4 linked regions of the Rattus norvegicus genome follow. The protein of the gene in region 1 interacts with the protein of each later gene in a pairwise test. Links are inferred from orthologs where the notes say so. Each region holds a gene or a part of one and is shown in the gene's direction. Other genes may lie near its edges.

The links. The genes of interacting proteins can lie anywhere in the genome.
Region 2: the proteins of Lnx1 (region 1) and Rufy4 interact in binary tests that used the Homo sapiens proteins (3 or more experiments, as listed by UniProt). The two-hybrid records come from large-scale screens. The link is inferred for Rattus norvegicus from reciprocal best matches to the Homo sapiens genes LNX1 and RUFY4.
Region 3: the proteins of Lnx1 (region 1) and Gdi1 interact in binary tests that used the Homo sapiens proteins (3 or more experiments, as listed by UniProt). The two-hybrid records come from large-scale screens. The link is inferred for Rattus norvegicus from reciprocal best matches to the Homo sapiens genes LNX1 and GDI1.
Region 4: the proteins of Lnx1 (region 1) and Sat1 interact in binary tests that used the Homo sapiens proteins (3 or more experiments, as listed by UniProt). The link is inferred for Rattus norvegicus from reciprocal best matches to the Homo sapiens genes LNX1 and SAT1.

The regions. Positions count from the first base shown.
Region 1 is NC_086032.1:33,954,222-33,960,994, forward strand, and holds part of Lnx1 (E3 ubiquitin-protein ligase LNX), read left to right. Parts: intron 1-2,269; coding exon 2,270-2,404; intron 2,405-6,060; coding exon 6,061-6,229; intron 6,230-6,773.
Region 2 is NC_086027.1:83,149,944-83,157,184, forward strand, and holds the start of Rufy4 (RUN and FYVE domain-containing protein 4), read left to right. Parts: upstream 1-2,195; 5' UTR 2,196-2,718; intron 2,719-2,753; exon of another isoform or gene 2,754-3,184; intron 3,185-4,496; exon of another isoform or gene 4,497-4,501; 5' UTR 4,502-4,581; coding exon 4,582-4,627; intron 4,628-4,723; coding exon 4,724-4,830; intron 4,831-6,068; coding exon 6,069-6,194; intron 6,195-6,439; coding exon 6,440-6,546; intron 6,547-6,801; coding exon 6,802-6,945; intron 6,946-7,241. Other genes in the region: Tns1 (tensin-1), read right to left, coding at 1,816-1,971. UniProt on the Homo sapiens protein: ARL8 effector that promotes the coupling of endolysosomes to dynein-dynactin for retrograde transport along microtubules. Acts by binding both GTP-bound ARL8 and dynein-dynactin.
Region 3 is NC_086039.1:157,236,691-157,243,945, forward strand, and holds the start of Gdi1 (rab GDP dissociation inhibitor alpha), read left to right. Parts: upstream 1-2,209; 5' UTR 2,210-2,333; coding exon 2,334-2,378; intron 2,379-3,546; coding exon 3,547-3,654; intron 3,655-3,813; coding exon 3,814-3,913; intron 3,914-4,050; coding exon 4,051-4,185; intron 4,186-4,596; coding exon 4,597-4,795; intron 4,796-5,049; coding exon 5,050-5,181; intron 5,182-6,138; coding exon 6,139-6,238; intron 6,239-7,045; coding exon 7,046-7,217; intron 7,218-7,255. Other genes in the region: Atp6ap1 (V-type proton ATPase subunit S1 precursor), read left to right, coding at 165-212, 301-529, 743-952. UniProt on the Homo sapiens protein: Regulates the GDP/GTP exchange reaction of most Rab proteins by inhibiting the dissociation of GDP from them, and the subsequent binding of GTP to them. Promotes the dissociation of GDP-bound Rab proteins from the membrane and inhibits their activation.
Region 4 is NC_086039.1:44,005,645-44,013,134, forward strand, and holds Sat1 (diamine acetyltransferase 1), read left to right. Parts: upstream 1-2,444; 5' UTR 2,445-2,736; coding exon 2,737-2,802; intron 2,803-3,070; coding exon 3,071-3,122; intron 3,123-3,226; coding exon 3,227-3,310; intron 3,311-3,458; exon of another isoform or gene 3,459-3,781; intron 3,782-4,741; coding exon 4,742-4,843; intron 4,844-4,933; coding exon 4,934-4,974; intron 4,975-5,203; coding exon 5,204-5,374; 3' UTR 5,375-5,728; downstream 5,729-7,490. UniProt on the Homo sapiens protein: Enzyme which catalyzes the acetylation of polyamines. Substrate specificity: norspermidine = spermidine >> spermine > N(1)-acetylspermine. This highly regulated enzyme allows a fine attenuation of the intracellular concentration of polyamines.

The DNA.
Region 1 (6,773 bases):
CTGTGAACAATTCACGAGGTGGCTGGTAAGAGCCCCAGATCCAACCCTGCAGAGAATTTATTTGCGAGGAAATTGATACCCATGTTATTGATCGGGGTGCCGATCCTGCCAACGCTTCATTCTCGAGCCAGCATTTGAAAGCCCGATGAGAAATCTGTGCTAAAAAACGTGAAGCAAACAGCTCGTGAACTCTGCTCCTTGGCAATTTGGACTTTGCCTGGTGAGTTGAGCCATGTGGGATTCTCCAGCGTTTATATTTCTTATAAGGTGTTGCTCAGAACATGCTCTGCTCACTGGCCAAGACAAGCAGGATACAATTCCAGCCCAGAGCAAAAGCACTGCCAACAGCCTTCTCAACAGTGCGGAGTTTCCCTCCAAGATAAGAGAGCAAACTGGGCTCAGTGATTGAGGTTTTGACCTGATTCTTTATTGCTACTTATCTTCCCACGAGTTTTACTTCAGAGAGTTCTTGAAGATAACCTCGTAGGGTAAGTGAGACTTGCAATCCAGAGGAAAAGATACATTATTACAACACTCTCTTCCAGAAACGGAACTGTTGGCCAGGTCCAGAGCTCTGTGTCAGCTTTCTTCTTGATGGGTTACCCGAGCTGTTCTAATGCAAGCCTCAGATGTGGTAACCCAAGGAATTCTGGATAGGCTAGCGAAGGAAGAACACGTAAGCACTGACTCAGTGAGTTAGGGCTGTGCACAAAGGAAAGCAGGCAGAGCTCAAGCTTCCTTTGTTGGGCCGTTCAGTAGCATTTTCTGATTGAGCATGGAATGAACAGCTCCATCCCCAAATGACTCTCTTATATGTGGTATCTTCTTGTATCCTCTCGTGCTGAAAGGGGCAAGCTCTGTTGTAAGGGCACCGATCCCATTCATGGGGACCAAGTCAAAGACCTGCCTGGTAATACCATCGCCATGGGGGTTAGGATTTCCACATGAGGGACACATACATTCAAACCATTGCCTTGGGGGTTAGGATTTCCACACATGAGGAACACATACATTCAAACCATAGCCAGCAAAAGGCAAACATCTCAGTGCCCACTGTCTAAGCTAATGGAGATACACAGTACGGGCCCTCTGTTGTGACCCGATTTCTCCAAGGCCCTTTAACGCTACGCATGAAGGCAAGTGTGTGCGTATCAGTGTCTGTCTCTGCTGTGGTGAGTGGTCAAGAACTAGAAGGAGGGGAGGAACTACCAGACCTTACATTTCTTCATCTTCCCCCAGGTGCCTTTCTAACCATGCCTCTTGTTGCATTTCTCACTGAAGTAATGGAGGATCCATGTGCCATTTCAGTTTGGGGAATCAACGTTGTTTCTTTGAGATCTGCAGCCCTAGGGTCTTGCCTATCCTCCCCGCAAATCTGATGCCTTGGGGGTTGGCACGTCTAGGTTGACACTTGCAGTCAGAGATACAGGAAAGTGACCCATGGCAGAAAGCTAATCAGCGATTTACCACGTGTTAGGAACCCTTGCAGTAAGCGATACCTTTGTTCCTCCAAATCTTCTGCCCAGTACCTGTGTGCAGAAGGATCTGAGTCAGCGGTAGTCACGGCATTTCCGTTTCCCCAGTGTCACAGTCGCTGCCTCTTACCTTGCTTCTCTTTCTTCACCGCTGCCCTTTTATCTGGAACTGCCACGTGGTGTGGACTGCTTCACACCATGCACCTTGCTCTATTCAGAAAGCCTTTCAGCCTGCAGCTGACCTTGTCATTAAACATACATTAACAAGATCGAATGGTGTGTCTTCAAAGACTTGCCTGAGTCAGGCCTTTCTGCTGAAGTGCAAGCTGGACACTGACATAAAAAAATCTAGAGTTTTCTGGCCTGGAGTGATGGTTCAGTGACTAAGCGTGCACACTGTTTTTGCAGAGGACCTGAGTTCAGTTCCCAGCCCCCACACCCTGTGGCTCACAACTACCTGTGCACCAGCTTCAGGGAAATCCAATCCCCCCTGCTGGCCTCTGAGGACACCTGCATTCCCATGCGCATACCCACATACATGCACACATATGCATAATTAAAAACAAATCTTTTAAAAGTATGTCCTTTCAGCTTGGACCACAATTTTAAAAAAAAGAAAAAATCTAGAGGGTCGGGGGTAGACGATGCATACACAAAAGCCCTGGGGCTGAGTCTCCAGCATTTCATAAGAAAAGAAATTTAGAAACTTTAATTCCATTCAATAAAAATCAAAACGAAAGTGCTCTCCTGGTAGGGCCATGTGCACATGGCTAATTGAATGTCCTCTTGTCCAGGCCAGTGAAAGACGTGTTCACCTCGTCGTGTCCCGCCAGGTTCGACAGCCCAGCCCAGACATCTTTCAAGAAGCTGGCTGCATCAGCAACGGCCAGCAGTCTCCTGTCTCAGGGGAGAGGAGCACATCTTCTAAGGTGAGGGCCAGCCAGGCGTGTCGGCAGCTCCTTCCTGTGAGGGGCTATTTCTTGGGAAAGCCGTATACTCTAATGTGTCTAAGGGCTGTCTCTGGACTTTGTCGTTTCAAGAAACACTACTCCTGAAACTAGAAGGCCAAAGTCCTGTCTTCATACTTGGAAGGTGACAGGTGTCTCCCGTCCAAGCAGGAGTGAGGAGGAAGGTGCTGGGGGAGTGTTAGATCCCAGCTTGCAAGCCTTCTAAGGGACCTGCTTTCTAGTGTAAGCCAAATGCATGTCCTACTTTTGACCAAGAATCCTTCCTCATAAGGACTGTTTTCCATTCGCTTTCAAAGGCGGCAAGCAGTTTGCTTGATTTCGTGGTTTTTGAGTTTCCCAACCTGCCTGGAAACTCTGATTCCCTTGCTATTCCCCGCCCCCTGCTATTTTTAATGTTTGTGTTTGTACGAAAGACAAGGAAGACACTGGTCATACTTGAAGAGCATGGAGCATTAAGGGGAGCGGGGCCTCAGACAAGGCAGGAGCACATGTCTTATCTTACATCATTTAAATCCAGAAATTAAAAAAAATATTAAATTATTCATTTATTTTGTAGGGCGAGGTATACACACATGTACACGTAGACACACATGTGCTATGGTGTATGTGTAGAGGTCAGAGGATAACTCGTGGCAATTGGTTCTCTTCCTCCCTCCCACCATGTTGGTCCCAGGGCTTAAACTAAGATCAGCAGGCTTGGTGACAAGCTCTTTTGCCCACTGAGCCATCTCAGTGGCCCCAGGAGATGCAGTCCAGTACGTTCTTGTCTGTGGCTTCTATGAGATGCAAGTATGCAGTTCATTTTGATGGTGTCTTATCAACACATTGTCCAGTCCAGATCAAGTCCTCTGACCTTGGCTCTGTCACGAAGATGGACAGCTTCCTCTTTCTGGTAGCTTGTGTCATCGTGGTACTTGTTACTAAAGATAAGCAGGGCTGGAACGGGGTTCAATCGTTTTGACCACTTGTTCCTCTTGCAAAGGACCCCCCCAGTTGTTCCCAGCACCCACACAGCAGCTCACAACTCTCTATGACGCTACTTCCGGGGAATCTGATGCTCTCTTCTGTCTCTAAGGGCACTGCACACACCTGGTGGTGTACATACATGTAGTAGGCAAAACAGCCATGCCCATAAAGATATAAATCGATGTTTGGATACAACCTAACGCCTTTATATGTAGCCTGTTTCCAAAACGGAGATGATGGAATGAATGAACATATTTTTCTTTCCATATCGGGCCAAAGGTTGAGGGTCTTTTTGAGTAATAATTGCAGAAAACATCTCTGCTTTATAATCAGGAGCCTGTGATCACCTTCATTCAAAATCTCCAGCCAATGGCATCTAGATAAATCCTCGAGTTCCATGTTTTTGTATGGGAAGCAATCTAGATAAGCTAAGTGTACCCTGCTAAAAAGTTTTATGCACAAGGACTCCCTGATACTTTCTACCCAATAATAAATACTGTTAGTGTTTTAAAGTTATCTGATAGTATTCATTGATGTCAAAATATATGTGAGATTTTTTAAAAATCTTGCCTGAAGCTTGTATCTAACCAGCTGTATTAAGTAGAATGTGTTATATTTTCATTCATTAAACATAGAAATGAGACCTATACCACAGAAAGGCTATATATTTTATGTATATGAGTACTGTGTCTGTCTTCACACACACTAGAAGAGGGCATCACATATCATTACAGATGGTTGTGAGCCACCATGTGGTTGCTGGGAATTGAACTCAAGACCTTTGGAAGAGCAGTCAGTGCTGGAAACCATGAAGCTATCTCAGAAACCCCAATGAGACTCTGTAACTCCTTCTACCTGCCTACCATGAGCCATGGGGAAGCCAGGATGGTCTAATGAGATCTTTGTTACAACCTTGTGTCATGTGTCTGAATTCCAGGAAACATGCTGGCCCACCGGGAACGAAGTTCTTTCCAATCATACTTCTACCTGCCCCTTACACACCCCTGCCACACCCATAAAGGGATCTACCTGGCTGTTGATGATTACGTTTTAAACTGATTTAGGAAAACAATGTGGCGTTTGAAAATAGGAGTTTAAGTGCTCCCAAGAAGTACCAAAGAAAGCAAGCCATAGTTTGTGGGACAGGAAAGCTTCTACCCCGGTGAAGAGTTAGGTACCAACAGGCGCCATCTTTAGGCCTGTGTTCACCATCATGAAAGAAGAAGGGGAATCTGACCAGCTCCATGTCACAGAGACAGTTACTAACCCTGGCACTGATTATCAAGCTACAGGGTCCTGATGCTTTTTAGACGTTTAGAATGTCTTATTCTTCCAAATCCCGGGTAAACATTCTAAAACATAAATGCTCCATAGACTTAAGTGCCCATATGGTTTAATCAATATGAACTATTTCACCATAAGTCAGCTTTTTTTTTTTTTTTGGTTCTTTTTTTTTCGGAGCTGGGGACCGAACCCAGGGCCTTGCGCTTCCTAGGCAAGCGCTCTACCACTGAGCTAAATCCCCAACCCATAAGTCAGCTTTTTAAAGTAGAGTGAGCAGGTCAGACAGAAAGAGTTTTGTCCGCCAAAGGTTCCTCCTCCTGCCCCAAACCCAGCAAGTCAGCATGAGGAATTAACTCAGAGATTCGAGTTTCTCCATCACTACCATCTGTCTCTCTCTCACGTTCTCTCTCCCACTGGTGGGGAAGGCAAACGGCCATCAGGGACACAGGCCAAGCGCAGTCCTGGTGCTCGGCCACTTGGTTCAGCGGTTTGGAAAGTACCAAAAATGGGGAAAACGTATAGGCCCAATGTGTGCCTCTGTATGGTTTGCGTGCACGTGCATATGGGCATTGACAAATACGTGACAGCATGCGCATGTGTGAGCGTGTGCATGTAGATGCCAGAGCATGACACCGGGTATCTTTCTTGGTTGCTCTCTACATCTTTACTGAGATTGCTTCCCGCCTAAGCCAAGCTTGCGTATTTGACTAGTCTTAACCAGCCTTCTCTCTCTGTGGATCCCCGAACTCTGGATTACACATTAGCCACCATTTTATATGGCTGGCGTTTATATGAGGTCCATTACGTCAGAAAAAAATGTAAACCTAGAGAAGCTTGCTGGGCTGGCAGAATTGCTCAGTAGGTAAAGGTATTTGGCTGTCAAGCCTTACCAGAGTGTGTTTGATCCCCGGGACCCACACGGTGGAGTGAAAGAATCAGCTTTTGTAAATTGTCCTCTGACAATTACATGTCACATGCATGCTGTAGCATGTGCTTCTCAGCTTCCACACATTCCGCTAATAAATATGATTTTTAAATATGAAAGATGTACTGACAGGGACAGTGAGTGTTCTGAGAAGTTGGCCTACTGTAATCAGAAGTGGGTGGCTTCCTTGAGAGATTCGGGATGCAGCCAAATGTATACGATCCAGATTTCTACCACGGTCCCCAGGCTGTGGCCTTTCTGTGTTTAGTATTCCGTTCTGCAATGCAAACCTCTCAGAGTCAACCCTTAGAATCTGCGATGCTGTATCTGCGGTGCTGGAATTCGTGATGCTAATAACTCTTTTGATGCGAGTGCGCGGATATGTGTGAGTAAATGGGCCTGGTGAATGCATGCACCATGTTCTTTGTGTCTGTGCCTTCAGCCTGCAGCCACTTGTCATGAGAAGGTTGTAAGTGTCCAAAAAGACCCCAACGAATCTCTCGGCATGACCGTTGGAGGGGGAGCATCACACAGAGAATGGGACTTGCCCATCTATGTCATCAGTGTTGAGCCCGGAGGAGTCATAAGCAGAGACGGAAGAATAAAAACAGGTACAAAAATCAAAGAGAATAAAGGCATGGGGTGGCAGAGCCTGGGCGGAGTTAGCAGCCTGCTGGGTTCGCTAACTGCTCTCCCAGAGTCAAGGAGAGCATGTGAGAGGGAGCTGGCCATGATTGCTACGCTCCTTTGGGCAGGGTGAGCATGCTGTAGTCTAGGCTTGCCTCTCTTAGTGCACGGGAGAGGGGAGGAGGCAGCTTTGCTAGGAAAGGTAGCGCCTCTAGACTTTCTTTCTTGGCTGAATTGACAGCCGCTACACCTGTGAGCAAGTTGCACACAATTGCACAATTCTAAAGCACAATTTAGATCCATGCAATCTAACGCCCCTATGGATTCTACGGAATGCTCCAATAGTGAAACTGATTTACGAATTGTACAGTTTTGTGGGCTAAATGGGATGAATGTGTTGATAGATCTCGATTCAATGGTATAATTAAATATCACTTTGCCCATTGGTGAGAAATGGATCTTTCCACTCATGTTCTGGGCTCCTCTACATACAGGAAGGTATCCAGTTTACCTCCGCAGGTATGTGTT
Region 2 (7,241 bases), on another chromosome or scaffold:
TCCCTGCCGACCATCACATGACCAGTGGGCATCCCCCCACCATGTCAAAGCTGGCTGCAGGGAGAATGGGAGGGAGTAAGAGTTCTGAGCCCATGGAGACCAGAGAAGGGTTGGGGCCATGTCTGAAGAGCAGCAGAATGAAACAAGGAAGTGGATGGTCAGCCTGGAGAGCTCTGACAAGCAGAAGACAGGAGCATCAAGGTACAGTGGAGTACAGTGAGATGCCTCCCAGGGTTCTCTACTCGAATCCCCATCCCCCAAGCAGCTCAGACTCACCCTCTAAGGGGTAAGCTGGGATTTGAGATAGGGAGGGCTATTGCCTCCTCATCAACCCTGGACATCTTGCAAAGTAGAGGAGAGAGAGGCTCTGAGCCGGGGTGGGGTTTGAGAAAGGATATCTTAATGACTCTAGAGGAACAGGAAGTCTAAGAGCTCTATCATGTCACCCCAGTTCTGTGCCCATCACCAGTAACTGGGATACCCAATTCTTACTTCCAGGCTCCCTGAGTCCTCCCCCAGGCTCCATGAGAATCTAGCTAGGACACTAGCCACTTTAAGACAGAGATAAGAATCTGTCCCCAGATATATCCTTCATTGTGACCAGTCACTGCCTGCTTGCTACCTTGCTGGATAGGGCATTTCATTTTCAAGTTCCCAACCCTATGCCTGTGCCTATGGCATATAACCACAACTATGCTATCATCTGCACCCTAGAGGGACAGCCAGTCAAGTGGTGCAGAGGGGCGTCGCCGACACTCAACACACTCACAAAAACATGTGCATAAGCACACATTGCCATATTGTCTGTCCACACGGAGGTGCTGGGATGTGGTGGCAGGATGCGTTTGGAGTCAACACTAACTCTGCTGGCCTCCAGTGGAGAAAGAACTGAAGGGTCCCAGTTTCGCCCAGAACAAAGTCAGTAAACAATCCCATACGGCTGCTCCCCCTGTCCCAGTGGAGAAGGAGACTAGGGTTCTCCCGGGGATGGACTAGAACTGGCCAGTCCCTGCTGATACAAAACACTGTCGCCCCCCCCCCAGGAAACCACGGAGCCTATGCAAAGCCTGGGGTGTCCAGCCAGCCTGCTTTCCTGGTCAACACTTTTTGCTCCTGGTCGCTTTTCAACATCCAGGTTCCAGGACTCACCCAGAAAACAATAGGAGAGAGGAGAGGGACTCTAATGGACCCACCCACCTCCTCAGACCCTGCTGCCTCCCTACCCCAAGTAAGAGGATACTAACTTTTCCCTCCTCACCCTAGAACTTTTGGGTGGTTCCAATTTCTCACTAATTGCCTGCTGCTTCCCCCTCTCTGCCACTTGCTTCTCTCTCTCTCTCTCTCTCTCTCTCTCTCTCTCTCTCTCTCTCTCTGTCTCTCTCTGTCTCTGTCTCTCTCTGTCTCTCTCTGTCTCTGTCTCTGTCTCTCTCTCTCTCTCTCTCTCTCTCTCTCTCTCTCTCTCTCTCTCTCTCTCTCTCTCTCCCCTTGCTTGTTTAGGCTTTTTTGTTTTATTGGTTTTGGTGTTTGTGGGAGTTTGAGTTTGGGGTTTGGATTGGTTTTAGTTTGCTTGAGAAACGATCTCACTATGCTGGCCTTGACTTATAATCCTCCTGCTTCAATTTCGGTAGCAGTGGATCACAGACCTGCCACCAACGTCTTGCCCTTCAAGGACACCAGAGGCCCAGGTGTGACCTCCATGGAACTGACTGCAGGGCCCTCCCACTCTCCTGCCTACACCTTCCCAGACTCCTTACTGTCCCAGGTGGATCGGGCTCTGCTGTGTCTGCTGCCCGCACCCGGCCCGCAGCTCCCTACCTGAAGCAGCAGCCTCCTCCTCTGGATGGATGCCGCACCCCCGGGCTCAGAGCGCTCGGGCCGCGCGGGGCCCGGCGGAGTCCCGGGGGGCTGCGGGCCACAAGAAGGCAGAGGCTCGAGCGCCTCGCAGCACACCAGGCTCACGGTGCAGCCCATCCGGCCCGGCACCCGGCGGGCCCGGGGCGGGGACGCGGACTACCAACGAACCGGCCCACCCCCAGCCCCAGCGACCTCTCGGCCCCAGGCGTCTGCGACGTGGGGAGAAGGGCAACGCCCCCGGCCCGCCCCGTCGGGAGTCCGCCTCCGCCTCCGCTACCGCTCCGCCAGGCAGTGGGAGTGCGGGGGCCCGGCCAGGGGCGGTGACACGGACGCTGGAGGCAGTCTGTAGGGAGGGGACCCGAGGGCGCGGGAACCCGGGAGGGGCTGTGGCGGAATCCCCGAGACTGGCTGAGCTGGGAGCGCGTGAAAGAGAGCAACGCCGTGACTAGTGAATGACTGAGAGACTGACACCAGAGAAGAGATCTGAAGGGACAGAAACGATGGCACGGAGGACAAGGGGGGCCCAGGGGTAGATCCGGCTCTGCACTGGGAAGAAGGGCGGGACGTGGAGCAGAGAACAGCAGGTTTGGGGATCGCTCTGTTCCCTGCTTACAGGTAGTTCCTCGAACTCATGAAAGTAGCTCTGAAGTCCCTAACCCTTGGTTTCCAGTCACCAGGACCAACCGCCCCATGTCAGACTGGCATAGAAAAAGGATGACCCCAGCACCAGAAAGCTGAGTGAAGTCAGCGAAAGAGGCCACCCTACACCGAGCAGCCCACCTGAGGTTTCCATCCCGGGGAAGTGGGTACCAGGACTGGAAGGAAGGTACCCCGACACTGGCCGGGATCCCGCTGCTGGCTGGGGTAAGAGGAAGAAGAAAGATACTTGGTGGCCATTTGCCTTCTCTCCCCACCTGTGCCACTTCCAGTCCAATGACAGAAGAGACAACTCGAGGGGGAAAAACAAAAAAGAAAACCGAGCCCCCTAGCGTTTCAGTCAGCCTCTCTCCGCCATCTACTGGCAACAAGACAGAAAGACAAGAGCAGGTGCCAGGGAAAGGAAGCCCCTATCCTTGTTGCGTTTGTGTTTGAGACACCAACTGGCCTTATGCCAGATGAGCTTGAAGGAGCCGCTCATTCTGCCTCTGTGCCCTCGATCTTTCTCTACTACTTCTCCCTGGCCAAGACTAGTCCAGCCCCCTCCAGGCTGGGCCTGAGTCACTCCCCAGGCAGGAGAACTGGGAAAGACTGCAGAGCCCACAGTCACAAGGGACATATTCAGGCAACAGAATCCTCCTGCCCACATCCCAACCAGACAGGCTTTTCCCAGGTGAGCACGGTAGTCCCTGGGCTTGGGGATCGGGTAGAGGAACCCTGAGGAAATGTCGGTAGAGAACTGTCTAATCCTTGATCTATAGATGAGGAAAGTGGAGCCTAAGAAAGGGTGACCAGTCCAGGATGAGACCCTTGTCTTCTGACCCCCCCCCAGTCCTGGTTTCACACACTGCTCTCCTTGCCTTTCTTTTTCCTTTCTTTCGTCCGTGATCCACTATTAGAGGGTAGCTACCCCACCCACAAACTCCATCACTCCTGCCTGGGAGGCTGGACCCCTGGCCTGGCCTTGATGACAGGATCTCAGCCTAAGTTCATCATCCCTCAAGGACAACAGTATCCCTCTCTGAGTCCAAGGACCCTTCGGAGACAGAAGTAGAGTCCTACAAGAGAGGGTGGTGGGTTAAAACCAGGTACCCCACTCCCCACAGCCAACATTGGGTTCAGTTCCTACACTGCACCCTCTGTCTACTTCTGCCTGCTTTCCCGGGGAACATACATTTTTCCACTCAGCTGGGGCTCTGGAAAGGATGAATGTGGGTCCCAAGGCAATGACACTCTGCTGAGGCTCATGGGCTGGCCAAGGGGAAAGGAGGTGACGTTCCCCAGCTGGGTGTCCCCATGGCACAGGCATCTCTCCGACTCCTAAGGAAATCTGAGTTCAGCTTACAGCTTTGTGATACTGGATTGAGATTTACCCTTTCTGTGCCCAGTCACTGTGTGTCAACACTGTACTGGAGGCTACTAAGGGGATTGAATGAGACAAAAATGTCAGCAATGGTCAGGGTGACCAAAACCAGCAATGGCTCGATAAGTGGAGGCCACATTCACATCTTTATACATCAGTCTTCAAGACATAACTGGCAGCTGGGTGGTGGTGGAGCATGCCTTTAATGTCAGCACTCGGAGGCAGAGGCCAGCCTGGTCTCTAGACCAAAGTTCCAGGACAACCAGGGCTACACAGAGAAACCCTGTCTCAGAGAGAGAGACACAGAGAGAGACAGAGATACAGAGAAAGAGAGACAGGCAGAGAGAAACAGAGACAGAGATAGAGACAGAGGGAGAGAGAGATGGGGAGAGAGGGAAAGACAGAGACAGAGACACACAGAGAGAAAAAGAGGTAGAAAGAAACAGAGACCGAGGGAAGGGAGAGGGAGAGACACACAGAGAAAGAAAAAAGAAAAAATAACTGGGATTCCTTGCAGTATACTCAGTAAACTATAAGAAAAGAAACGAAAAGAAAAGAATTGTACTTCATTCCTCCAGTTAACTCATTGTGTGACCCTGGTATGCTCTCGTTCTCTCTCAAGTCTAGACCCTCACCCATCTGTATGTAAGGAAAGCAAGCAGCCGAGCCCAGAGAATCACAGGAGGTCACCTTACTTTCAAGTCTCCATGGCAGAAAAGGAAACCATCCTCAAGATCAGCAGGAACTTGAAAAGTGAGCTGCCCTGGGAGGTTTTTCTGTGGCTAAGCTGTAGGAGGGGTTTCTCCTCAGGCCTGGCTCCCTCATGGCTCTCTACCATCCTCCTCCCAGATGCTGTCTCTGCCATCCTCCAGGGATATGGGGACGGGCAGGGGCCAGTGACAGACACAAGTGCCGAGCTACACAGACTCTGTGGCTGCCTGGAGCTGCTCCTGCAGGTGAGACCCTCCACCCTCCCTCTCCACCCTGCCAACTCCTTCCCGTTCAATACCCTAGAAAGCTTCTCCAGTTGTACGCCCAAGCCACTGTCTTCCTCCCTTCCCAGGCACAGTCTGCTTTCTCAGTGAGCAAGTCCTTCATGACATAACTTTCTCCCAGAAGCTAGGACTGGTTTTCATTGTTTTCTCATGTTTACCTCCTGAAAGACTTGATATATAAACATAAATATGCCTCCTCTCCCTCCTCTGACTTCCTGACAGGGAGCTGCACTTCTTACCACACTGTCTCCACCTCCCATAGCACATCAGGATTGCACCTGTCTCAGGGCATTTATCTGTCGTTGCCTCTATCCGGAATGCTATTCCCTAGATATTTGTATGACATCAGTGCACATGGCCCTCAAGTCTGGAGACTTCCTCAGGCTAAAATTTCAGACATCCCCCTTCCTCCTCTTCCTCTTCCTCTTCCTCTTCCTCTTCCTCCTCCTCCTCCTCTTCCTTCTTCTCTCTCTCTCTCTCTCTCTCTCTCTCTCTCTCTCTCTCTTTCTTTTTCCCTCCACAGCCACCATCACTATGTTAGTTGGGGTTTTGCTGTTGTGGACGGACACCATGACCAAGGCAACTCTTATAAGGACAACATTTTAATTGGGGCTGGCTTACAGGTTCAGAGGATTCATTATCATCAAGGTGGGAGCATGGCAGTGTCCAGGCAGGCATGGTGTAGGAAAAGCTGAGAGTTCTACATCTTCATCCGAAGGTTGGCATGAGACTACTGGCTTCCAGCAGCTAGAATGAGGGTCTTAAGCCCACACCCACAGTGTCCTGCCTACTCCATAAAAAGCCACACCTACTCGAACAGGGCCATACCCTCTAATAGTGCCACTCCCTGGGCCAAGCATATACAAACCATCCCACTATCTAACACTCTGTCTGCTTTGAGAATTTAACTCCTTTATCCTCTGCAGGCCTTGGTCATCATTCACGGGCCTTAGGTCAGGGCCAGTCCATAGTAAAGTGCTCAGTGTCTGTGAATGAGTGAGTGTGAATTCAGGCTCAGAGAGATCAAGTATCATGTCCCTATCACACAGCCAGGGAGGGCAGAGGAAGATTCCCTCAACAAAAAGGCCTGTCTTCAGGAGCCCTTTCTTCTACCATGTGCCTTCCCAGCATGCCAGGGTGCTAGGTAGGTTCCAGAAGGAGCCACTGACATATGTTCCTTTCTCTCATCTTGGTCCTAGTTTGACCAGAAAGAGCAGAGGAGCTTCCTGGGGGCTCGGAAGGATTACTGGGACTTCCTGTTCACTGCCCTTCGGCGGCAGCGGGGATACACAGAGCAGATGAACTTCATATGCTCACAGGACAAGGTAATGGGAGCAGGGGATGGGAAAGCGGGTGAGCTTTGTCCAGGCCTTCCCTAGATCCCACCTCTCAGACCTGCTCCACAAACAGGAGGCTTACCCTTGAATGATGAGGACCTCTCATTTGCCCCGGCTTCACGTCCAGCCTCACCTTTCTCCTCCCACCTTGGCCCACTCTTTCTCCCTCTCTCATTTGGCCCAGCTCCCCACCCTGATTTCACCCTCTCTCTGGCCCTCCTCACACCCTGTAGCTGAAGACCTCGCTAGGAAAAGGCCGTGCCTTTATCCGACTCTGCCTTGCCCATGGACAGCTGGCTGAGTCCATGCAGCTGTGCCTCCTGAACCCACAACTCACCAGGTGGGTTTGCCCATAGATGGTACTTGAACCCACCACCCTCCTTTACTGCTAAATGGATGACTGACAGTTAGGGATAAGGTAATGAGTGTCAAGGAGAAAGGACCTAAGAGACCCGCATGCAGTTTGGCATGCTCAGGCCTCTGCCCTTGGAGGCTGAGTTCAGCCACAACCTGCCTAGGAATGTCCCCTGTGGTACACTGATTCTCAGAGGTCAAGGGTAGCAATGGCTGGATGTGTTGTTCCCTCTTCACACAGGGAATGGTATGGCCCTCGGAGCCCTCTGCTGTGCCCTGAGCTCCAGGGAGACATCTTGGACTCTCTCTATACCCTCAATGGAGTTGCCTTCAACCTGGACCTGCAACGGCCAGACCTGGATGAAGCCTGGCCCATGTTCTCAGAGTGAGCAGGCTCTCTGCCTCCAGCCCAAGCCACGCTTCCCTATCCTTTTCAAGTTACTTTTTTGAGGTTACATTGTTTCCCCCTTCCCTTTCCTACCTCTAAACCCTCCCATATACTCTTCCTTGCTCTCTTCTGAACCCAATGAGCTCTTTTTTTTATTAATTGTTGTGAGATACACACACACACACACACACACACACACGCATGAACACACAAGGTACAACCCACTCAGCCTGTATAATGTTACTTGTACGTATTTTCATGACTGACCATTTGGGATTAGTGCAACTCTTCCC
Region 3 (7,255 bases), on another chromosome or scaffold:
ATGACTGGAGCCTTAGTTTTCCCATATGGTAAATGGGGACACTGTATTGACAGCTGGCTGGCTATAAGGATGGATCTAGGGTTGCTTAGGTTGGAGCCAACCTGATCAGGATCTTCTTAAGGTTCTTCTAGAGCCTGACAGTACTCCTGTGCCTTGTCCCATAGGCTTTCACTGACCTATGAACCACTCTTTGGTGCAACAGTGACATTCAAGTAAGTTCTGTTGGCTGAAGTTTGGCTGGGCTGGTATGTCTTCACTCTATTTTGTTCATCTGACATCTCTGCAACCCCCACCTCCCAGGTTCATTCTGGCTAGTCGCTTCTACCCAGTATCTGCCCGATATTGGTTTACCATGGAACGACTTGAAATCCACAGCAATGGCTCGGTTGCCCATTTCAATGTTTCCCAAGTCACAGGACCTAGTATCTATTCTTTCCACTGTGAGTACGTCAGCAGTCTGAGCAAGAAAGGCAGTCTCCTTGTGACCAACGTGCCCTCCCTCTGGCAGATGACTCTTCATAACTTCCAGGTATTGAAAGGGTGATGGGCCCCCAAGCTGGTGGCAATAAGGGGCGGGAAAAAGGGCCCAGAGAATCTCTGCATGGTTTGAGCATGTAGCCGAGAGAGTTCCATCCTTGTATAGTCTCTGAAGGTATAACTATTCATTAATTCCAGAATCCCAGCACTGAACTGTTTGTAGAACCTTGTGGTCCCATCTGATCCATGTCTATGTATCTCCTAGATCCAAGCCTTCAATGTGACTGGTGAACAGTTCTCCTATGCTAGCGACTGTGCTGGCTTCTTCTCTCCGGGCATCTGGATGGGGCTGCTCACCACCCTCTTCATGCTTTTCATATTCACCTATGGTCTGCACATGATACTCAGCCTAAAGACCATGGATCGCTTTGATGACCACAAGGGCCCCACCATCACTTTGACCCAGATTGTGTGACATATACCAGAGAGGGATTGAGGGAGTATTGGTGTCTAGGTTTCCATTTTGTGACACAGTGGATGGAAAGGTTTGTCCTCTTCCTACTATAGCATGAACCCTACATACACCACCCTCAGCCTGTCTTGCTTCCTCTTTCCTGGACAGGGACTTCCCTGAGGCTATCCCCCACTTCTACCAACAAAGTGTATTATTCTTCATAGATAAATCTTCCAGGCTTCATCAAGAGGGGAAGGGACCTTAATTCTAGGGTGCCCCCCTTTCCCTTTCTCCTTATTTATTCTTGCCCCTCTGCTATTATTTCGTGCTGTTTATAGTGCTTTTGTGTAGTAAATACTCACTCCCCAAGCTTTATGGAGCTTTCCAGCAATAGCCATGAACTTGAGGTCCCTTGAATTTGAGAGGTGTGGAAAGGCTAGTTAACTGTCCAGCTTAGCCTTTATGGGTTTTTTTTTTTTTTTGGCGGGTGGGGGTTAAGAATGAGCGGTACACTGGGGTTTATTTCTGTGACCTGAGAAGGAAGAAATCACCACGAGAACTGGAGAACAAAGTGTACTCATTGGGTTTCTGGTTTGTTCTCACAAGGATTGCCTGTCAAGAAGCCAGAAGTATGTGTGTGTGTGTGTGGGGGGGGTGTGCTCTGTTGTTTCATTCCTAATAAAATAAAGACGTGTTGCCATGTGTTGGGCTCCAGCCACTTATTTCTACACTGGACAAGTAGATTTGTTCTTGACTGAAGGGAAGAACTGCTCAGATGTAGTCCTGTCAGGCAAGAAATGAGAGAGGAAGGGTGGGAGGGTCTTCAGTAAGCCGATACTCTTAACAAGCCGGAGAAGAGGCTTGTTACTTTTCCTCGCCATGGGAGGAATCCTGACAATGGCAGCTCTCCCAGCGCTAGGGCCAGCTGCAACAACACACTGCAGGGCTTCCATGCCTTTCTGTTTCTCCCAGGGGCGGTACGGGAGCGCGCGGGGCGGGGCGGGGCGCGCGCAGCTCCCGCGCAAGGATCCTTCGCTAGACGTAGCACCTGCCGCCGGCCTGCCCCGCCCCGTATTTCTCTGGGCTCACGGAGAGCCGCGTTAACCCCTGCAATCATTCTGGTGCTGGGACCCAGGTGCCAGAACCCCTCCTAGAAAACAAGCGAGGAAATGGTGGCTTTGGTTGGGCGTGGCTTGGCCAGAGGAGGGAGAGGGACTCATTGACGCTGCGTAGGGATCGGGAGACGACCGATAGACGCCATCTTTGGGTCAGTGCGGCGGCAGCGGCAGCGGCAGCAGCAGCAGCAGCAGCAGCAACAGCAACAGTAGAGGCATTGGTAGCAGCTGCTGTGGTGAAGGAGGAGGAGGAGAAGAAGAGCGGGCGCTGGTACCAAGGCCTGACCATGGATGAGGAATACGATGTGATTGTGCTGGGGACAGGTCTTACCGTAAGTGCCACCTCAGGCGCTCGTAGCCCTGCATCATGCCATCCCCCACCCCGCAGTGATGCAGAGTCCGGGTTACCCGACCCATCCTCCCATCATTGCGTTCCTGCCTCCAGCCCTGGAAAAGCCCATGCCCACCCCACTACCTCATCCTAGAGTGTTGATGCCAGTTCGCAATTCTTCGTAGAGGGCCCCACTTTGGCCAGTATTCCAGCACCCTAGATCTTAACCACGGACCCCTCACCTTCCCTATCTGTGTCACTGAGGTGGAAAACTCACCCCCCTCACACACACTGGACCCGTTGCATCCAACCCCACCCTTCGCCTGCACTCATCACCTGCTCAAGTAATTGATTAGCATCTTTTACCATCTTGTGATCACACTAGGGCATGGAGTATGAAGATAAAGATATGGGGGCTTTTCAAGGGTGGGCCCTCATCCTGCCTCTCTGCCTTTTGGGAGGGATAGGGAACCCATGGAATGTTCCAGAAACAGCGGGAGGGAGGGAGGGAGGGAGTGTGTGTGTGTGTGTGTGTGTGTGTGTGTGTGTGTGTGTGGTGTGTAGGGAGGGGGTGTTAGTGACCGCTTTCCCTCTACCCCAATTCGGTTTCCCATGGAGACCTCAGAGTGAATATATATCCTCAGCCTTTGTCCTTGGGTTAGTGACAGTGACTGGTGAGAGTGTCCGGTGTCCCCGTCGCCCCCCCCCCCCCCCGCACAAATCTTTTTTCGTTTGAACCCTGAGCCTAGAGCAGTGGATGCACAGCCAGAAGAGAGTCAGGGGCTCCTGCCCTTAAAAGGAGGAGCAGGGTGGAGCCTGGGATTTCAAGGACTTGGCCTTATCTTTCAAAGAGCCTTTGAATTGTTTCTTCTGTAGACTCATTGTCTTGTCTTTTTGTGAGCTCAGAGCAGGTAGATACTTTTGGCTTGTTGATGCTAGAAGAACTGTAAGCTCTGTCCCCCAAGCCTCCTTTAATGCTCTAGTAGTTTACTCAGCAGGGTTATAAAGGAAACATCATATGAAGCTATCTTCCCCTCCCCAGTTTTAGGCACTGGAAAGAGGTAGGACTTTGCATTATGAATTTTGTAGTGGGCATGAGGCAGGGACAAATCAGAGATGCTCATTGGAGGGTAGATGAGGTATAGCTGCCAATGCCACTCTTTCCCCAGGAATGCATCCTGTCTGGCATCATGTCTGTGAATGGAAAGAAGGTGTTGCACATGGACCGAAACCCCTACTATGGGGGTGAGAGCTCTTCTATCACACCCCTTGAGGAGGTAAGATTTCTTATTCTCAGACTTGGGCTTAGACCCAGACCCCTTGTTAGTCCCCCACATAGGTGTAAAGGGGGGAAGTAGTTCTCAGGTCCCAGGCAGGAGAGTGGGGAAGGGAAGCTAGTCCTTGACATTTGTCTTTCTTTCCTGTCCTGCTTACAGCTATATAAGCGCTTTCAGTTGCTGGAAGGGCCCCCTGAATCAATGGGCCGGGGCCGAGACTGGAATGTTGACTTGATCCCCAAATTCCTCATGGCCAATGGTGAGGGAGATTAAAAAGGGCGATGGGGGTGGTGAGTAGGAAGATGGGGTATGGGGTGTTCAATCTCCAGAATATGATCAGTCACACTACTGAGAGTTTTTTGAAGGAAAACACACCCTTACTCCCTTTGGACACAGGTCAGCTGGTAAAGATGCTACTGTATACAGAAGTGACTCGTTATCTGGACTTCAAGGTGGTAGAGGGCAGCTTTGTATACAAAGGGGGCAAGATCTACAAAGTGCCATCTACTGAGACTGAGGCCTTGGCTTCTAGTGAGTATGAGTCTCCTTAAGCAGAAGAATGGGGCTGGAGGGGACAAACTGTTTTCAGGACAGTTGGGCAAAAGGCTCCTCTTTGCATAAACCTAATCTTAGCTCCGTGTAGTCCTAGAGGCCCCTTGCTTTATAGTTTCTTTATTGGACAGTGCTACCAATCTTGGCAAGTTGCCAGAAAGGAAGTTCACAGAAGAGGATTCTTTTTTGTCAAAGGGCCTACTTGCCCTAAGTGGAGCTGGGAGGGTCTCTTCCTACAAATAGGAAAATTGAGACCAAGAAAGGTGGAGCAGTGTTGCATAAGAGAGTTCTGGTGGGAGCCAAGGCACCAATTTTCCTGGCCTGCTCTGTTAGAAAGAGGAGCTCTATGTCCGAGTAATGCAAATGATCTTTTCAATACCTTTCTTTCAGATCTGATGGGCATGTTTGAAAAACGACGCTTCCGAAAATTTTTGGTGTTTGTGGCAAACTTTGATGAGAATGACCCCAAAACCTTTGAGGGTGTTGACCCGCAGACCACCAGCATGCGTGATGTCTACCGGAAGTTTGACCTGGGCCAAGATGTCATTGATTTCACTGGCCATGCCCTGGCGCTCTACCGCACTGATGAGTGAGGGGAAAGCTGGCTGGTGATGGGAGCCCCTTGTCTGGCTCACACCCTCTCCACACCTGCCTATTGTACCTACTGCCCATCCTGCATGTCACTTGTACTCAGCTCCAGGCTCACCTGTTCCATTTCCATCCCTCTCCATTTGACCCACATCTTTGCCAGGTCACAAAGGGTGGTGGGAAGGCTGGCTGGTGTCTTTGTAAATGAACAAGGGTGCTGCTATCAAAGCATATTCCCTGGTTCTTTTTCCGTAGTTACCTGGATCAGCCATGTCTTGAGACTATTAACCGCATCAAGTTGTACAGTGAGTCCCTGGCCCGGTATGGCAAGAGCCCATATTTGTACCCACTCTATGGCCTGGGTGAGCTGCCTCAGGGCTTTGCCAGGTGAGGATCTGTCTTTTTCAGCTAGCATTACTGGTAAGACAAGGCCAAGAATGGAAATTACCTTGAATATTTTTGTGGCATCTCCTACTTTCCCATCTAATTTTCATGTATATTACTGTATCCCTGGGTAATGGGGGCATAGCCCTAGTGCATTAAAGTGCAGAGTAGAGGTTGGAGAGATGGCTCAGCAGATAAGAGCACTTGTTTACACCAAGGACCCGGGTTCAATTCCAATACCAATATACATGGTAGTTCACAACCATCTATAATTCCAGTTTTAGGGAATTCATAACCTTCATCTGGCCTTCATAAGCACCAGGCATGCATGTGGTGTACAGATATACACGTAAACAAAACACACACATGTGTGTATGTGTGTGTGTGTATATATATATATAATTTTAAAAGTAGGTGGAAATACAAAGTAAAGAAGTAGGTCACCATGAACATAGCTTCCCCCAGCTCTTGGTAGTACCAGGACTAAGTCTAGGACCCCGGAACCTTGTGTCTGGGCTTCCCTGGAGTTTGAATCTCTTACAGAGAGTTCTTTATTCTTGACTCCTAGGCTGTTTCTTGGTTTGTTTTTGTTTTGTTTTGTTTTGTTTTTTTGTTTTTGTTTTTTTTTTCGGGGCTGGGGACCGAACCCAGGGCCTTGCGCTTCCTAGGCAAGCGCTCTACCACTGAGCCTAATCCCCAACCCCTCCTGGGCTGTTTCTATGTGGAGCTACTTCTTCATGCTACCTTCTGTTGACCCTTTGCAGAACAATATGTACAGAAACACCAGAGAGGAAGGAATATGTCAGTATGGGCCCTAAGTTTATGGGAGGGACACCTGAAACAGTTGGAGTTAAACTCTGTATACCTGTGTTCTCTACCCCACTGGTGGGGTGAGGAGGGTACAGTAGAATTGGTCCCCACATTTCTGAGAAGACTTCCCCATCATTTTTCTTACTACAGATTGAGTGCCATCTATGGGGGAACATACATGCTGAACAAACCAGTGGATGACATCATCATGGAAAATGGCAAGGTGGTGGGTGTAAAATCTGAGGGAGAGGTAAGCCTGCCCTGTGCATTTGTATTACCATGGTTTGGGTAAGATTTGGTCTTTTTCAGAGCTATGTTCTTAGGGAACCTTATTACTTCTTAACCCTGAGAACCTTATAGCTAAAGCCTGGGTGGTCAATAAAACTCTACATAGTTATTCCTGTTGGCAAGAAATATCCTTCAAACTACAAGGTGTAGTGGCACACAACTGTATTCCTAGTACTTGGGAGGCCAAGGCAGATGGATCTAAATTAATCAAGAGGTATCCTTCAGAAGTCACATACTTTGTATTCCTGAATGTATTCTTTTGGAAAGGGTGTCCTGTATCCCAGGCTGGCCTCAAATAGTGTATATAACTGAAGATGAACTTTCAATCCTTGTGCTTCCACCTTCTTGATGCCGAATTACAGGTGTGTGTCAAGATACCTGGTTTATGCATTGCTGGGAATCTAACCCGGGGCTTTATGCATGATAGGCAAGCACTCTACCAACTGAGATAGTATGCCTATCCCTCAACCCCCAACTATCCTTCAGCCTTGGGTGCTGAGTTTTGGGCCAAACACTCTCAAATAAAAAACTTTTTTTTCTGGCAACAGAAAAAAAAGTTTTTGTGATCATTGTGTTTCAGCAATAGGGTTATCTAGCCCTGTATGTGAGGACTGATCTCTCTGAGCTTCAAGGAAAGGGTTATGTACTACATACAGGAGGGACAGTGATGACAGCTCAGAGCTGTCTGGCTTTACTTTTGGCTCAGCTTAACACTACCTGGGACAAGGGAATCATCCAACAGGTGCAAAATCTTCTGCTACCTTCACAGGTGGCCCGCTGCAAGCAGCTGATCTGTGATCCCAGCTACATCCCAGACCGTGTGCGAAAGGCTGGCCAGGTTATTCGCATCATCTGCATCCTCAGCCACCCCATCAAGAATACCAATGATGCCAATTCCTGCCAAATTATCATCCCTCAGAATCAGGTCAACAGGAAGTCAGGTAGGCCAGGCTGTAAGGGACTCCCTTCTGTTGTTATG
Region 4 (7,490 bases), on another chromosome or scaffold:
AGAGCAACCTGTTTTCAAATAACTGACTTCTGGTACATCTGGTGACATGGTCTACATGAAATATCATAAAAATCTTTGGGGCACTGAACTTTGTGTAACCATGAAACAAGGCAAAGAATAAAACCACTACTTTGGCTATTTTTCTTCCTTTCACTCTCCTCATCTGTTCATCTCAGTGATTGGAATTCCCCTTTTCATAGAGTCAAATACACTATAATAAACTACAAACACATCTCTAAAAGTAAACTGTACACTTTAAGGCTGGTTGTAACACTTAGTGACCTTTTATAATCCCCAAATACCTCACATAAGATTGAACAAGTTGAAATGGTGACTCATTAACCAAATAAAAGTTTGTCAAATGCTAGGTTCAATCACGATTCTAAAACACTAAGAAACCTAAATAGAAAAATGACTTTAGTTTTGCTTCTTTGGGAAGTTATTCTTGGTGTTGAGTCACAGAAATCGAATATATTGCTATCAGTAAATATGTGACAAACTCCTGTGAGTGCTCTAGCATTCTAAACAGAAGAAATGAAGGGAAGGGCCTGGTCACCCATGTCAGGAAAGACACCACTGGCAGTAACTCAGGTAGAATTGGTACTATTTTTAAAGCTCTTTGTGAAAAAACATTGCATAAGTTCTCATAGTGACTCACTAAGGCATTGAGTCATGGGAGAGTAGGAGGGGTAACAGAAAATGCTTTTCTGCTTTCATTTCTACATACAGGATATTACTAGTTAATAAAGGCCAAGTCACTTACTAAATATTAGGAGTGGCTATGTGGTAGTAGTCCAACCCCTCACTGTACAGACCGGATGCTGAAGACTATCTGATACTTTATCTCATTACAAAAAAAAAAATAACTCTTCTGACTGATTATAGAATCCAGGAAAGGCAATGGAAGCAGGGCACTCAAAGGATCTGTCCAGGAAAGTCCATAGTTAAAGAAAGGTCCTTCCCCAGAGATATGAATACTTACTTTTCCAATGGGTATGACCAGGAACAGGCAAACCCAAATGCTTCCAAATATTTTGATCTCTGGGCATCTAAAAGTTAGTGTATTCAAGTTTCCTTATCTTTAAAAATGGTAGAAAACATAACACAGAGCCACACATCCCTGTAATCATTGGAGTAATGTTATCATGACACGTTCAGTTCGTTTAGAATTATTTCGAAATAAAAAGTTAAAGGAAACAAAAGACGCACATGGACTGGAGCAAGTAAGTGCCACCACAGCTTCTGATAACAAAGGAAGCCAGGAAATAGTCAGATATCAGTGTGCGGAAAGAAAACTTCCAAACCTCAAAATCTCAAAATCTATAAGCAGTGAAATAAACCTTTCAATAATGTAAGATGACATACATCATTGAAGGGAATGATCAAGTATTTCTCTCCTTCAGAAGGAAAGTCGACAGGGAAGAACAGAGTTTTAAGAAGGAAATGAAGGGGAGCTAAGAAAGTAAACATTGCCAGGTGGTTGGGGTCAGAGGCAGGAGGATCTCTGAGTTACAGGCCAGTTTGGTGTAGAGTTACAAGACAGATGAGTCTACACAGAGAAACCCTGTTTCAAAAAATAAACACATAAATGAAAGAAAGAAAGGAAGGAGGGAAGGAAGAAAACATTTTAAATCTAGCCATCGAAACACTGGTTCTCAACCTTCCTAATACTTCAATCATTTAATATAGTTTCTCCTGTTGTGGTGACCCTCCACCATAATATTATTTCATTTCTACTTTATAACTGTAATTTTGCTGTTGTTATATTGTTATGAATTGTAATGTAAATATCTGATATATAGGCTATCTGATATGGGACTCCAAAGGGGTTGTGACCCACAGGTCGAGAACCACTGAACTAGAAGGAAAGCAATCAAGGACCTTTCTGACCTTAGAAAATACAAGAAGGCTGTGGTGAACATTTTTAATTCTAGCACTGGGCAGACTGAGGCAAGCAGATCTACGTGATTTGTGAATTCTAGGACAGCCTGTTGAAACATAGTGAGTTCCAGGATGGCCAAGACTACACAAAGAGACCCTGTCTCAAAATCCAAACAAGATTCAAACCCACACCTTTCTTTAGTCATGAAAACGGTGACATCACTACATCTCAATGAACTGCCTGTGGAAAATTACAAGAGGGGAAAGGAAAATTATGCCTCCAGACCACACTTTGGGAATGGCTGCTCTTATCTTTCTGTCATACCCTAAAGTTGGGCTTCCTGAGTTTGCTTTTCTCAATGTCGGGGTCACAGAGGCAATCCACATTTTCTATTTATGAAGGTTACTAGGGGACAAGCTGGCATTCAAATGCTTCCGGGAAGGGTCCGCAAGGCGCCGCTAGAGAACTCGAGGCTAAACAAGGCAGCAGCGCACATCGCCCTAACCCGCCCTCCAGGTTTGCGTCATGGTGTCACGAGAAAGCCCAGAAGAGGGCGGTGTCTGGAACAGAGGGCGGTGCTTCCTCAGGCTTGCATCTTTACTGGTCGAGATCTCTATGTCTCTTAGTCCGGGGAGGAGCTTCTGCATACTTAAAAGGCACTGTCTTGCCACTGTAGCTGCGCAGCTCCCCAGAGTAAGTCTGCCAGTTTTCTGTCTTCTACTGAGGTTCGCCGGGTCATGGTGCCAGCCTGACTGAGAAGAGGACGCTCCCGGGAAACGAATGAGGAACCACCTCCTCCTGCTGTTCAAGTACAGGGGCCTGGTGCGCAAAGGGAAGAAAAGCAAAAGACGAAAATGGCTAAATTTAAGATCCGTCCAGCCACTGCCTCTGACTGCAGTGACATCCTGCGACTGATCAAGGTAGGGAAAAGTCCGAGATCTCCCTAGGGCAGAGGATAGGGGAGGCTCCGTTTCCCGGGGAAATCCTCATCTTCAGTTTTGAGACGCTGCCAGACCAGTAAATTCCCCTTTCTTGGCCTGCTAACCCCAGCCCGGGTCAGACTCAGCAGTGCGGCGCCAGGCAGAACTCAGTCACCGCTCGACCCCGCCTGCCCCATTTCCCCTCCTGTGAGCTGGCCAGGTTGGCCAGGAGTTTCATTGTCCTTTCTTTTATATGTGTCGTCCCCAGGAACTGGCTAAATATGAATACATGGAAGATCAAGTAGTTTTAACTGAGAAAGGTAACAAAGGCGTGGCGGGGGAGAAGGGAGGGGGGACAAGGTATCTGTTTCCCCGCATCTCCAAAGGTCAACTCAACACAGTTTCTGCCTCCCCCATCTTACAGATCTCTTAGAGGATGGTTTTGGAGAGCACCCCTTCTACCACTGCCTGGTTGCAGAAGTGCCTAAAGAGCACTGGACCCCTGAAGGTAACCCCTTCTCCCTGTCCAGAAGCCAGAGAGAACTAATGCTGTATCAAAACCATAGAGCCTACTTTGCAGAACCCGTGACTACATGGGCAGAGGTTACTGAGGAGCTGGCTGGAAATAACAGCCAGCCAGTATGCAAATGACTGAGGGAAAAAATGTATGTAGTGTACTTTATAATAGGGCGGGTTACAAGAGCTGTTTGCGCAAGTATCAGAGTGCTGTAGAAACCCGGAAAAATTAGGTATAATGTCATTTGTTGTAATTCCGTTTCATAAAATGGTTTTTGTTTGACCCTAACCTAACCTCTTTTTTGTAATTGTGTTAAATCACATTTTTTTCTTTAATTTGTCCCAATCTTCAGGTTACAGTCTCTAGCTTCGCCATGTACATGGCCCTTCTGTGTACATGGATGGGCGGGGAGGTAACTAAAAGATCCTTTACACAATAAAGTAGATGATCATGATAAATGAGGTAAGGTCCTATTATCACACACTTAAAACACGGTAGATCAGAAATTTATATTCGCTTCCTGTCTGTCTGCAAAGAAATAGAAAATGCCTAGAAAGTTTAATTTGCAACCATTGCCTTTAATTTGAAATCTTTGCCTCCATTTGGAATTGAATTGACACTCCTTATGAGGGAGTCTGTTTTTAATTATTTTTATTTTTATTTATGTATTTACTTTTTTTGCTGGCCCTTGTTGACTGGTCAGAAGACGGCTAAAAGGGGAAGTTGTGGGTGGGTGCTTTCTTGAGTCTTCTGGTGTCTGTTCCTTAGGCTAGAAGATAATCAGAACACATGAGGCATGAGATAAGATTTAGAAGTATGTGGGTGTTAGGTAACACCTGTTTCTGGTTACTGCTATTTCTCCTGCCTTAAAGATTGGGGGAAGTAAATTGAAAATTCATACGTGGGAGGGCAAGTTCTGAAAGTAAACATTGTACTTTTGGCCTGGTATTCTGACCTTAAGGAAGCAAGCGTTGGTGAACTAAAAGTATTTCCTCTTCTAAACTGCTGTGTAAACCCAACTTTTGCCAAGCCAACATACCAGCATGTCATTAGGATGTGAATAATATGTGTGTTTAGTTTAAGTCTGTGGCCCTTTTGCTCTGGCACGTAATGAAAATGTTCTCATTTCCTGAGTGTGAGTTCAGCAGACTGGAGACTAGCCAGTCAACAGGTGTAGCCTAGCTTTAGCTATCTCTAATGTGTGCTTTTTGCAAGTACATGTCTGAGACCAGAGAGATCATTCATCGTTCATCTGGACTGTACTAACATAAACATAAGGAGGCAGTCCAGTTCCTGGCTACTTGTTGCAGTGGTGAATGCATATCTATTTTCTTAAAAATCTACAATAGGCTTCTGATTCTGCCGATACAGCTTGAATGGGTTGTTTTTCTTCTTGCATCTCATGGGATCCTCTTATTACAGGACACAGCATTGTTGGTTTTGCCATGTACTATTTTACCTATGACCCATGGATTGGCAAGTTACTGTATCTTGAAGACTTCTTTGTGATGAGTGATTACCGAGGTACAGTTGACTTTGGGGATTAGAGGAAAAGAGGAATCAGAGCCCTATGGCCTTAAAATGACTAAGTTGACTTGTATTTCTTTCTTTTAGGCTTTGGTATAGGATCAGAAATTTTGAAGAATCTAAGCCAGGTATGTTCACCAGCTTTTCACTGCATAGCCTAGTATTCCTTATGAGCCTTGGCTGGCCTCAAGCTTGTCTTCACCTACCGTGCTGGGATTAGAGCTGGGACCAGATATCCTAGATTTGGGCTTCTGAATTTGTAAGAGTTATTGGGCTATTGTAATTAATGAATCAAATTTGGGTCTTGGCAAGAGGGTGAAATGTTACTGGGCTTATGTTCTCTCTTGCTTGTACTAGGTTGCTATGAAGTGTCGCTGCAGCAGTATGCACTTCTTGGTAGCAGAGTGGAATGAACCATCTATCAACTTCTACAAAAGAAGAGGTGCTTCGGATCTGTCCAGTGAAGAGGGATGGAGACTATTCAAGATTGACAAAGAATACTTGCTAAAAATGGCAGCAGAGGAGTGAGGTGTGCCGGTATAGACAATGACCACCTCCATTGTGCTTTAGAATAAATTCTCAACTTCCCTTGCTTTCTATCTCGTTTGTAGTGAAATAATAGAGTGAGCATCCATTCCAAAGCTTTATTACCAGTGGCGTTGTTGCATGTTTGAAATTCGGTCTGTTTAAAATGGCAGTCATGTATGTGGTTTGGAGGCAGAATTCTTGAACATCTTTTGATGAAGAACAAGGTGGTATCATCTTTATATATGAAAAACAAAACTTCATTCTTGTGAGTCATTTAAATGTGTACAATGTACACACTGGTACTTAGAGTTTCTGTTTTGATTCTTTTTTAAAAAAATAAACTACTCTTTGATTTGAATATTCAGTGTGAGCATTTTTACTAGTTCTGTCTTCCTCATTACTTTTACAACAAAAATAATATGTAAAATAAAAATACCTATCCAACAGTTCTCAGGTGCAGGTAAACATGAATAGGAGAGGTTGCCTGGTGTTTGGAGTACCCCAGGTTTCATCCATAGCACCAAAGGGTTCGGGGATGACTTGGGAAGGAAGGAATGAAACTGGTACATACAATGAATAAGTCAATTGTGCAAGTAAAATGTGAAGGTCGGTTTATGAAACACTAACAATCAGGAAAAACATCATGTCCCCAATGACCTCATCCCACACAAAATATCCCTTGAAGTAAAACTAAGTGGGTCATTCTGCTAATCAAGAGGAAGCAAAACTCTTGGTTTTTAACAAGATTGCAACTTTAAAAAGTGACAAACAAGCAACTTTGTCACGAGCAAATCCAGTGACTTCACATGTATCTGGTGAGATACTGTTTTAAACTAATGTCCTTCTATAGGACACAATACTAGTCTTTCAACTAGAAATACATAAGCAAATACTTTTCTCAGGAACTGAAAATGAGCCTTTAAATGCGAAGGGAAAAGACAATTTTCTTAGATCTATGAACTTTAATTACTCATTACATTGACCTATATTCCCAAACCCACTAATTTGTATGATCATAAAAATGATAGTGGTTAAGAATTTCTGAAAACTAGTGTCCAAGATTAGTGTTTTCGAAAGCAGTTCTAGGATACCTACACAATAGCAGGAAGTATTGAACCCTTCCAGTTAAACAGCTTTGGTTCTGTGTTCCTTTGGCTCAGTTTCTGCTACACAGTTCTAGATAAGAAGGCAGCTAGATAGAAAAGTGTGAATATGCATTTCTTTTGAGCTTTGGGTGTTTTTGGTGGCTCAATTTGTCATGAAAATAGGCATACAGAGTTAGATCTCAATCAGGGTCCTGCTCAGATGGCAAGTAATGGGATTGCTGGCAAAAATCAAAGACTAACAGAACACAAAGAGCCTTGTGAAGAAGGAAGACATTTTGAAGGTTGTGTTCTGGAAACTGGGCCTCTTAGAGGAAAACAAGTGCTGCTTACTGTGGCTAGATGAATAAATTAACCCAGGGAGTAACAATCTAACCTTCTGTGTTCACACCTTAAAGACACAGTGTTGCAAAAACAGAAGCAGTTGTGAAATTTTGGTTCAGAAATTTAGAGGAGTCCCTTAAAAGTAAAAATCTAGACACTCAGACCCCACACCAGCCCACTTAATATTCAACTCAATTACACTGATATCTCTTTACAAGCAGCTATAGAACCAAGCATATTAATGCACACCTGGAGAGGCTGAGGCAAGGGCTCAGGTTTGAGACGAGTCTGGCCTACACAAGGAAACTCTTCTCAAAAGGAAATAAAACATTTAAAACGAAAATACCAAAAAACACTTTGGCAAAGAGCACATGCCTGTAGTCTCAAGTGCTTGACAGGCTGAGGCAGGAGGACCATTTTACTTTCATGAGTTTCAAACCAACCTTGGCGGTACAGGGAACACTATCTCAAAACAAACAGACAGACAAACAAACAAAAATTTATTTGGGACAGGTGGTTGTGCAAGCCTTTAATCCTAGTACTTGGGGTCAATTGGATGTCTGAGATCAAGAACAGCATGGCCAAGAGAGTGAGTTTCAGGACAGCCAGGACTACACAGAGAAACCCTGTCTCAAAAAAACAACTCCTTGCAGAAAAAAAAAAAAAAAAAAGAAAGAAACTTATATTTG